Nothobranchius furzeri: one gene and its partner. The protein of the gene in region 1 interacts with the protein of each later gene in a biochemical or structural test. Links are inferred from orthologs where the notes say so. Each region holds a gene or a part of one and is shown in the gene's direction. Other genes may lie near its edges.

What was found. The genes of interacting proteins can lie anywhere in the genome.
Region 2: the proteins of npr2 (region 1) and nppc form a complex in vitro, tested with the Homo sapiens proteins (3 studies listed by BioGRID). The link is inferred for Nothobranchius furzeri from reciprocal best matches to the Homo sapiens genes NPR2 and NPPC.

What each region holds. Positions count from the first base shown.
Region 1 is NC_091746.1:73,579,486-73,584,800, forward strand, and holds the start of npr2 (atrial natriuretic peptide receptor 2), read left to right. Parts: upstream 1-1,842; 5' UTR 1,843-1,976; coding exon 1,977-2,670; intron 2,671-5,315. UniProt on the Homo sapiens protein: Receptor for the C-type natriuretic peptide NPPC/CNP hormone. Has guanylate cyclase activity upon binding of its ligand. May play a role in the regulation of skeletal growth.
Region 2 is NC_091748.1:62,957,080-62,962,544, reverse strand, and holds the start of nppc (C-type natriuretic peptide), read left to right. Parts: upstream 1-2,177; 5' UTR 2,178-2,291; coding exon 2,292-2,384; intron 2,385-3,302; coding exon 3,303-3,575; 3' UTR 3,576-3,589; intron 3,590-4,516; 3' UTR 4,517-5,465.

The sequences.
Region 1 (5,315 bases):
CACAAGCGCAGAACAGGTTCTGTTTGTGCAGACTCATTACTGTACGCTCAAGTTGGTGGCACTAAGTCACTCAATGAACTGGCTGGCTGGTTAATCATGTCACTTCAGGGGAGTTTTCCGACCATTTTACTTGACATCAAAGCTTTTCATTATGGTTTGCGGCATGTAAACATGCTAGCGGAGTTAGCATTAGCATGTCGGTGCGGTAGCATTTTCCACTCTCGTCTGAACTATAACCTTGAAATGTTAACGGTGTGCTGCTGTTGCTGTCTTACCCTAATGTGATGTTGAGTGACTTACATGAGCGCTGAGCAGGGTTTGCTCATCGATATATAGGTTTTTCTGTATCGACCCGCCCCCTGACTTGTCAACAAAGCTGCGGGCTTAAGGAAGTGGAGGAAGTTCTTTCTTGATACTTCCTGTGTGCGACGGTGTAGTTCTATATTCATTAATTATTATTTCTGTTTCAGACTAAAAAACTCATGTACCAACTGCACGTGTCGTGATTGTGTTCAGCATGTAGATGTGAACAAATAAAAAAAAGTTAACTGAAAAAAATAAAATAAACCAAAATGATAGGGGGGCTTGTGATTATTTTAGGGGGGCTGAAGCCCCCCTAAAACGGACCTAACGACGTCAGCGGTAGCCAGGAAAATGTCATTAAAAACGTTATCAGTGCAGTGCGCCTCCGCCAGACCTCTCTTTATGACACTAAACCAAACGTTTATTTAGAAATAATATTATGAAGCTCAAACCGTAACATTTTTTCTGTAATAATTCTCCTCAGCAGGAGTTTGAGCGATTTGACTAAAATCGTTCCAACAGCAACTCTAACTGCGATTTTCACCTAAAACTGGTTATTTTAAAACTTTTAAACTAAAACAGTGAAACAGCAGGACAGAAACAAAAAATAAACACGAGATTAGAAAAATAAAAACGATTCTAGATCAAAGTAAAAAAAATAAACAATGAATATTTAGCAACCTATCAGAGAAAAGATAAAATAGGTGCAGATTTCCATTGTTTTAGAGCCTGTTAAGTGAAACGGAATCAAAAAGGAGTGAGGTTTTAGGTAAGAATGAACGGGTGGAAATATAGTCAGGCAACAAAATCGGATGAAAGCGTTAAAGCTTTGGTTTAAAGTTGATCAGCCAAACAGTGAAGACAGCAAAATAAACCAGAACAAATCAGATCGATTCCACAAAAAGACAGATAATGTTTTATCATTTTAAACATTTTAAACATAAAGTCAAAGCAAACAGGAAAAAGCTTTGATTACAAATCTTTATTATTCTGTCCTTTTTTTTATCAGAAAGACTCTTGGTGCAGAGCGTGAGGCAGCCTGCAGGGGGAGACTCGTTCCTGTACTTCTCTTTTATTTCTATAGACTTTTTAAATTCGCACACAGTAAAAAGAAAAAGCTGAATTTTAACTCGGTTTGCTTTAAATCTTGATTTTAGAAGCAAAAAAGTCAGATTTTTTTTAGATTTGCTTCATAATTTTTGGGAAACAACATCAGAGTTATTATTTAAATTCGGCGTGCTGATCAGAGAACAACAACAGTCAAATATATTTAGTAGCTCCGCTGAAGCTGACAGGAACTCGGAGGTTCTGGTCCAGGACCTGGAGAACCCGTTCGTGTCAGTGTGACGTTTGTAGGGGGAGGGGGGCTGCTGTGATTTAAGCCCCAGCCACCCGGACGTTTGTTATCACTCTGAGGGAGTCTGGCACCGGAGGACCGCGCTGCACCGGGAAACGCGCTGTGGAAACTACAACTCCCTCTAAGGTGGATTTTACGCAGCGGGACGCATGGCGCAGACCGGCACAGCGGGATAACGCCTTTACCGACTCTCGCTGACTTTAGCAACAAACAGCAGGACCCCTCTGGTGTGGAGTGACCGATCCGTGGCCGGCAGTGCCTCCTCTCCGCGCTGTGCGCCCTCCGTGTCCGTGCGTCGCTCTCCAGGACCAGAGACATGGGATGCAGGAGCGCGCTCGGATGCTGCCTGTTCGCAGCGCTGTCCTGCTGCCTCCTCCGCGGCTGCAGGAGCAACATCACGGTGGCCGTGATGTTACCGGACGACCACCAGAAGTACCCGTGGGCTCTGCCGCGCGTCTTCCCGGCCATCCTCATGGCGCACGAAGACCTGGCCGGTAAACACAAGCTGCTGCTCGGCCGCACCATCCGGATCCTGAACTACAGCACGGAGGACCCCGCCGCGCGCACGTGCGCGGTGAGCCGGGCGCAGGTGCTGGCAGTGGACGCGAAGCTCTACGTGCGCCCGGATGTGTTCTTCGGACCGGGTTGCGTGTACCCGCTGGCCTCCGTGGCGCGCTTCGCGTCCCACTGGAAGTTGCCGCTGATCACCGCAGGAGGCCCCGCGCACGGCTTCGACGACCGGGTGGAGTACCGGACCATCGTGCGCAGCGGGCCCACCACCACCAAGATGGGGGACTTTGCCAACGCGCTGCACACGCACTTCAACTGGACGTCCCGGGCCGCGGTGGTCTTCTACGACCTGCGGCAGGACGACCGGCCGCACTACTTCCTGACCGAGGGCATCTTCTTCAACCTGGACCGGGAGATGAACGTGACGATCGAGGCCCGACCGTACACCGACGAGACCGACTACAAGGAGCTGATCGCGTTCATGCAGGAGAACGGGAGGAGTAAGTTCAGCAGAGCTCCACTTTCTCACCCTCAGAGCCCAAAGTTCAGCTGCTGATGGGCTTCTGTTGACGTCACCGGTTTAATATCACAACAGCAGAAACGGATCTGAGCTAAATAATAGATACTTAATAAATCCCTCCTCACCATGAAACGTTTCAGCTTAATAAAACCACCTGAAGCTGAAGCACTCTTTACTTGATGGTTTAAAAACACAAACATTCACTCAGAAACAAGGAGCTGGAGGATCCAGAAGGCCTCAGCTGGAATATTTGTGCTGATTTGTGGAAAAGTTGCAGACAGCTGCAGAGATGGTCTCAAACAGGCTCGTTTCTGCAGCACTTTTATGAAATCAGCTTTAAAACTTAGGTTTTCCCCCTAAATCTGAGGCTGATTTTGATATCCAGAGATAACTTGTGAGCACAGAAACCCAGAATGGAGGAAACATCTGGAGGGAATCACCTCTGGAAGCAGCTCAACGTCTCCATGCTTCCAGACAGCAGGCCCGGCAGCGTTCCGGTTCTCCTGACCCACTGTAACACGGAGAGGGGAATCAGCTGCTGCACAGAGCTGGAGGTCATATGAGCTGATGGGTTTGTCCGGGCTTGTCCTGCCTCGGCATTCCGCTCGGCTCTCCTTCATCCCAGCAGAATTCCTGCAGGCAGAAAAAGGCAGGAAACGTTCAGATGAAGCTAATTTTCGTGCAAAATTCACCCAAAACACATCTTAGTTTTCTGGTGAAGTTTGTTTTTCCTGGTTAGGAATGGCAGCAGAGTTTGTCAAAGGCTTGATTCCCAACAGACAGGAATGTTGTCCAGTTTTAAACTCACTGGAAAAAGAAAGAAAATGCCGGGCTCAAATGATGCACCAACTTTCTCTATAAATCTTTTTTTCAGGACATAACATCCAGATAAAGTCTGGAATTTTCTGTTATTTACACACAGCAGCAGAAATTCCCTCCTGGTGATCGAATTTGCAAACAAGCGCCCACGCTGCAGGGAACAGAAACACGGATTCAGAGGAAAATTCATTAATTTAGCTGCAGTAAAACCCGCTAAAATCAACTCTTCACTCATAAAAACTCATCTGGTCTGAATTTTAAAAAGTCTACATGATTTTACAACCCTCACACGTCTCAGAACATCCCATAATTTACCTTAAATGATAAGGTAACGTTGCCTGGTGCAGTGTTGCCTTTTTAAACACCACTGTTTCCCTGCTGCCACACCTGACTTAAATGAATGAGTGGTTAACGGGCATCTGCAGCACTTGATGTCCTCCTGAGGAGCCGACGTAATCCTGGTGTGCTGAAGCAGAGACATGGAAAACCTGAGGACCAGGGTTGGGAAACATTGGCCCAGTGAGGGAAGCAAAGTTTTTTATTAAACATTAAAATACCTTTTTGAAAACACAGAATAAACACATAAATACCAACAGCTGGATGGTTATTACATGTTTGTAACAGACTTGAACTAAAAATGGATCCGGCCGTTTTCCGTCAGGATTTGAATCCAAAGAAAATGAAAAATACCACCTTAGAAAATTCTTCCAGATGATTTTCCTTGTTTGTAGACAGAAAGCAGATTGGTGACTGAATTAGACCACGTTTACATTTAAACTCTCGATATCTGGATGTTCTTTTAAATTAAAGAGCAAGTCACCCCCAAATCAACTTTTTTTCTGACAAACTATATAAATGCGTGTCTGATCATGCTGCAGACTGCAGGAGCTTAATTACCAGGAGCATGCATGACTTTCCACTGGTGTAATTAAACAAGGCTTAATGCTACAACACAAAGATGTCGACTGGGACACTGAAACTATTTTATTTGAGCACAACGTTTAAACTGTTAAAGAGCAAGTCACCCCCAAAACAACTCATTTTCCCTGATAAACTATATAAATGCGTGTCTAATCGTGCTGCAGACAAGTGTAGTCAATAGTTTTGCACTTTAGTGCATTTGAGTTAAAATTTTGAGTTTCGAGCTCACCCGAAACTCTGGCTGAATAGGACCCACACCCACCCTCAATGTGTTTATGTAGAAGATCATCAGGGGGTCTTTTGTTCCCTCTTCGGGGGGAAACTCCCACGGGGTTTAAATCTGGGACTCTCCACCATTTGACCTTAGAACTGAAGAAGCCTCTCGGATGAGAGGTGAAACGTCTTCAAGCAACTCAAAGAAGTCCAGATGCTTTTCTTTCAAAGCTCATCAGACTACAATGACCTGGATGACTGAGAACCTTCACAGACAGTTAAAATTTTAATTTTCTGCCTAAAACTGTCAGTGTTGTGCCATTGTCAGGTAAAAACTCTGCACTGCATTTGAATTTAAATCTGCCATCGCTATTGGCTAAGAGGTACCCTAGAACGTTAGCTGGTACCATATGATGTCAAAATGGCGTTGTGAGCCCGTGTGTGTGTATTTGTTAGCGGCTCCGCCCTCTCGGTCTGCTAGGCAACAGCATTTGTTGCATTTTTCAAACAGGAAGTGGGAGTGGAGTAATACTCTGGTAGGGGGTGACTTGCTCTTTAAGAACCAGCTTTGATGCTTTGTTTATGGAATTTCAGAAAAGTTAATAAAGCTGGAGCTTCAGATCCATCCCTGATTCCAGAAGATGTGAAATCTGACGTGTGTTTGCAGGAAAA
Region 2 (5,465 bases), on another chromosome or scaffold:
ACCCAAACTTTATTTATGATTTATTTTCTCTAACTTGTTAAAATGCATCAGCAAACATAAAGATTTTAATTTTATTTATTGAAAAAAACAAGAAAGGTTTTGATTAAATTCAATAATAATTTCAATCCCAAATAAAACTAGAGAAAAAAAAACGCATCTCATTGTGATTTTTTTATTATTATTTAATGCAGTTTATGCAGATTCAAATGACACAAGAGTTCCACACAAATAAAATGTGTTCTTACTTTTTGATGCAAACAATTTTATTAAATTACATGGAAGGGAAACAGTTACATGAATGACATTTTTTACATGAAGCCATTAAGAAAGGACGTTTTATGAGGTAAAAACTTTTAAAAATGTATGAAACAAAAGTTGATTTGACTTGAAGATGCTTTTACTCTCACAGATATCTTGATACGTTCATAATTTTTGACTCTTTAATTTCCTGTACCTGGTTTAAATCTTGTGTCCTTTCTGTGTGCAGTTTGCATGTTCTCCCTGTGCCTAAAGACATGCATGTGAGAGTCATTACAACATCTAAATTGGCTGCAGGAGTGTGTTTGGGACGTGTGTTACCGCTGTGGTGAACCGAGGAGTTCACGGCGTTCCCTGCTTTTTCTTCAGGGATGAATCCCAGCCTCAACGGGACGAAGCAGGTGGGAAAGAAGAAATGGGTGGATGAAATTTAGTCATTAATGGTTGCCTACAACGAGGGGATACTTTTGAGTGATGCATTGAATAATTGGGACACACACACACACACACACTGGCATTGATTTACTAAACTTGGTGACAATGAAGGAATCATTTCCTTTGCAGAACAGTGATTGCTGCCACTGTGTGTTCCAAAACAGACCTTGCTGTCCCAGAGTTTAGCTGTCTGTCCTCTAGGGGGACACTCAGACAGCAGAATGACTTCACACTGCAACAAAAAAAAAAGAAAAAAACATGCACTGCAAGTCATTTTATCACTACTTCATTTTTATTCTCAAAGTTTCATTGCAAAATGTCCAATTTCTTCTATAATTAGTTGCAACAAAATGTTTCAATATTTTTTTCTTTTTTGTTAAATCTCATGTGGGATCATCTTGTTTTGATCCTGTCAGTATCATAAAGCTACATGAATACCATCCTAATTACTGTTTATAAAAAGAGCCATTTTAACAGCTCAGATGCACAAAAGATGCATAAAAGAGAATAAGCTCCGTGGTTCTTCCTCTTCTCACCATGATCACCTTTTCCCCTTTGTTGTAGCAGCAAAATATCCCAAACCCTTTCCACATCTGTAGAAACTCTTCACCTGTGAGCCTGAAGCAGGAAATCACCTTTGCACCGTGACATTACAGTGCACCACTGGACCGACTGGATAATTAACGCTATAGTCATAGTTTCTATGAAGTGTCATGAGTCTTAATCAGCATCATCTTTGATTTCTAGTTACTGGACGTGAGAAAAGGGCTCATCTTGTCCACAAAATCATGTTTGATGTGTTAACGTGACAATGTTGTCAAGAACTTCTGTTCTGTTTTACAATCATCTCTTAACTTTTAGGAGAGGTCAGATCAACAGGACGATGTCATTGCTCAGGACTCTTAATGTGCTGCATTATTTTTTATTCATTTTTGCCTTAAAGGTGGTTTAATTCTTTCTTTTTTTTCATTCTTTTATTCCAACAAAGTCTACATTTTGCTAAACGAATCACGGTGGGATTGGTGAGAAGCCTGCAGATCAGCTTGACTCATCTACTGTAGTGGCACTCTGAGTTTTTCCACTTCATGGTTACCAATTATGCAAATCATATTTAGGATGCAAATAAATAAGGTCTCAACAGCTGGCATCTCCTTAGTTGTGTCTGTGTTGCTAAAGTCACTCTGTCTTGCAATCTTTGAAAGCACCTCCAGTTTCAGCCGGTCTGAAAGTTAAAAGTCTGGTTATTATTATTATCATTATTATCATTATTATTATTATTATTATTATTATTATTATTATTATTATTATTTGATAGATGATAGTCAATATCATTTCCTGTAAATCCCAGATGACCGGAGCTTGTATCATTGAATTAATCCCTGGTGTGACGCGAACGGAGGCAGGTAAAGAAAACAAAGTATTGGCCAGAAAGAGGCCAATTAGGTAGTCATGACATCACCGTGGGCTGGCTATAAAGCGCTGAGGTCTAATGCTGGGAGTCAGAAGTGCAGCTGAGGAGCTTTCTGAGGGAAGGACAAACTCAGTCTGACTGAAGCTGCCGTCAGAGGAAACCTGGAGACAGGGCGACACTTGTCAACATGAACTGGTCCTACTTGGTGGCTTGTGGACTTTTGGTCACCTTGCTTTCAGAAAGGATGGGAGCAAAACCTTTAAGTCAAGCGCAGCAGAAGGTAAGCCACTTGTATCCCCATGAGGATTTGCACTCTCGGATGTTGGAAGCAGTTTCAGGGGAGAACAGCTGTTTCCTGACGCGCTCGGGTCTGTTATTTTACGCGTCACGTTTCATCCTTTTAGTTTCGTTTACACGTTCAGAAAAAGATTCATTTCCATATTAAAAGCCTTAAACCTTCTACTCAGATCTCCTTCGTTTCCCTTTATCCTCGTTTAAAAGCCCGCAGAGACAGTTTTAACCTTTCGTGACCTTTCATTCACTCGTTTGAGATTATTAGCGCTAAAGAAAAGCAAATAAAAATGTTTAAATCATTTGTAAGCACAGTTTAATGATAAGAAAGCTCACAAGCCTGTAAACATGGAGTTGAACACTATTTTTGCATTATGTCAGCAACAAGTCCTAATTAACTGATCCGGTTTGTGCGTAAAACTGAACCAACACCGGATGAAACCATGAAACAGATACAATACATAATTTTACACTTAGAGTTGAGCTTTATGAAGGCAAGGGTTATTGCCACGTTTTGGAGTGGAGGACCCAGGAGCAGGCACCTGTTTTCCAGCATGTAATTGTTCTCGGAGCGCACGGTGCCCACGCGGAATGTCACTTGGTAAAAATCAGCCTTCGGGGTTTTAACATTGTGGATTTCTTTGAAGTTTGAATCTAAACGCGTGTTATTATGAGTCTCTTGCTGTCTTATTTTTCTGGTTAGAACCACATCTGAACCCCTCGGGGCTCTTCGTTCCTCCTGCTGCCTAATGCGCTCTGCACCAAGTTGAGGTCTACCTCACATTCTGAGGAAATTCTGTTCAAACAAGCACCCGAGCGATCTGAATCCGATTCCAAACCGATACCTTTGCGCGGCCTTCTTTGCCCCAGGGACCCAATGTTTATCTATTTTCTTCTAATCTTCCAGTCTCTTAGAAGTTTGTTGGGTGAAGAGCTGGCGGAGTTTCTGGAGTCGGAGGAGAGGGAGAAGCGGGTGGACGCGGTACGCGCTAGGATGCGGTTACTGCGGGATTTACGGATGGACACCCGGGCCAGAGGGATGTGGGCTCGTCTCCTTAACGACCAGCCCGCAACTAGGAGGCACAAGTCGGGAAGCAAGAAGGCGGGCTCGTCGTCACGGAGTGGCTGCTTCGGACACAAGATGGACCGGATAGGAACCCTCAGCGGGATGGGATGCTAAAGAGCGCAGCGATGGTGAGCTCACATCACATCCGCATCCTTCTGCTTCTCCAGATGGAGCCACTGTAACATCACACACAGGAGCCACAGCAGAGATTAATTCAGCCAAAATGAATGCTCATTTAAAAAAAAGATTTTTGTCAAATTTGCAGAAAAGAAGAAGTATGTGCAAAAAAAGAAAATTATAAAATAAAGAGCATTAATGCTTATCACTGGAGAAGATACACTAAAGTATAATTTAGATATCAGAGGCACATCTCACTGATGAAGCAATTATCATGACTAAGTCTTATTGAGCAATCAAACTCAAGAGTTGGAGAAATCAGATGTCATAGTGGATCTGAGTGATCACACATACTGACCTTTGTCAAACTTCTGCAATCACAATGAGCAAAAAGTAGAAACCCTTCATAGAAAAGCCCGTCTCAAACTGATCTGGGAGCAGTCTTTAAGTCCAATTTCTTATTACTGCTCCCGGTTGTGCCAAACGGCCTCATACATCGCATTTTGGGAAGAAAAGGAGACAAGGAGGAGGGAGCCGAAATTTATTCAGTCTCCTGCAAACAGAGCATCCTGCGGCGGTCAGGATCTTTCTGGAAAAGCCATTTTCTCAACCCAAGAGTTTTGGCCCAAAACAGGGAAGGGGTTGTGTTGGTCAGTGAAGTAATGCAGACGCTATAGGTGACACACAATTAGTCCTGAGGGTTGTGGCCTTTCTGTGGTCGTGGTGAACTGTGGAACCATGATGCAGATGTGTGATTTTTGTAACTAACGGAAGCGACTCTGTTCCTCATCGGTCAAAAGTTTGCATTATGGTGAAGTGAGAAATCAGAGCGGTAATTAGACCGCTGAGCAAACACTGGAAATTCCTTAAATAAGGATGAGAATTCACACGATGAGTGCCTTTTACAATCAGTCTAAACCTTTATGTTTTTCTTCTAGATCTCTGGACGATGGGTTTGGACGATGCAAGACGAATTTGCCGTCCCCTGAAAGAACAGAAAAGAAATAAATAAGAGAAAAAAGATCCAAGTGACAAGATTTTTGGTACGGAAGTGACCACAACCAGCATTAAGAGACTGAGATGACAATGCTGCAAAGTCCTTGCAAAGAAAGAAAACTATATATATATATATATATATATGTATGTATGTACATGACAAGTTCATTTGCAAAAATAGATTATTTTGTTTTCATTACGGACATCAGTGATATCAGTCATAACTTTGATGATTTTGATCAAAAATGACGTTTATCTTTTTCTTAAAAGGAACTCCCCATATATTTATGATGGAAATGCAGGTAGCTAAACATAAACATAAACACAACAGTCTACAGATAGAAACATAGATGCATACTGCTACATTGTGGATGACGGTGTAAAAACTACTAACCACAAAAAGCTGTACATTAATGCTGCTGCTGTACATTCAAGTAATTCATCTTCCCCTGCATAAATGTATTTATGTTTAAAAGTATTTATATGTTTATAAAAAAGAGATATTTATAAATATGACTTTTATTTATGTAACATTTTGAAAATGAATGCAAACATCAGATGGATTCTGTTTGTTACATTTTTTTCTTTTGTCTTTCATAATTGTAAATGTAAAAAAAACTGATAAAAAGAACCTCCATGTGCACTTACACACATTTTCTGGGTGTATTTTTCACTAGAATGGCTCCATTTTAAACATTTCACACTGGCTTTGTGGGATCGGAGTCACAATGACTGGATGGTGGAATATCAATGGAGTGCTTGATATTTTTTGATCTACCCTGCAAAAATAATGAAATAGTTAGAAAAAAAACACGTATAAAACTCAAAGATGCTCATACACACAGCAAAGCAATCACAGTCCCATAGCTTTGTCACCGGGTGGTAAGAGTG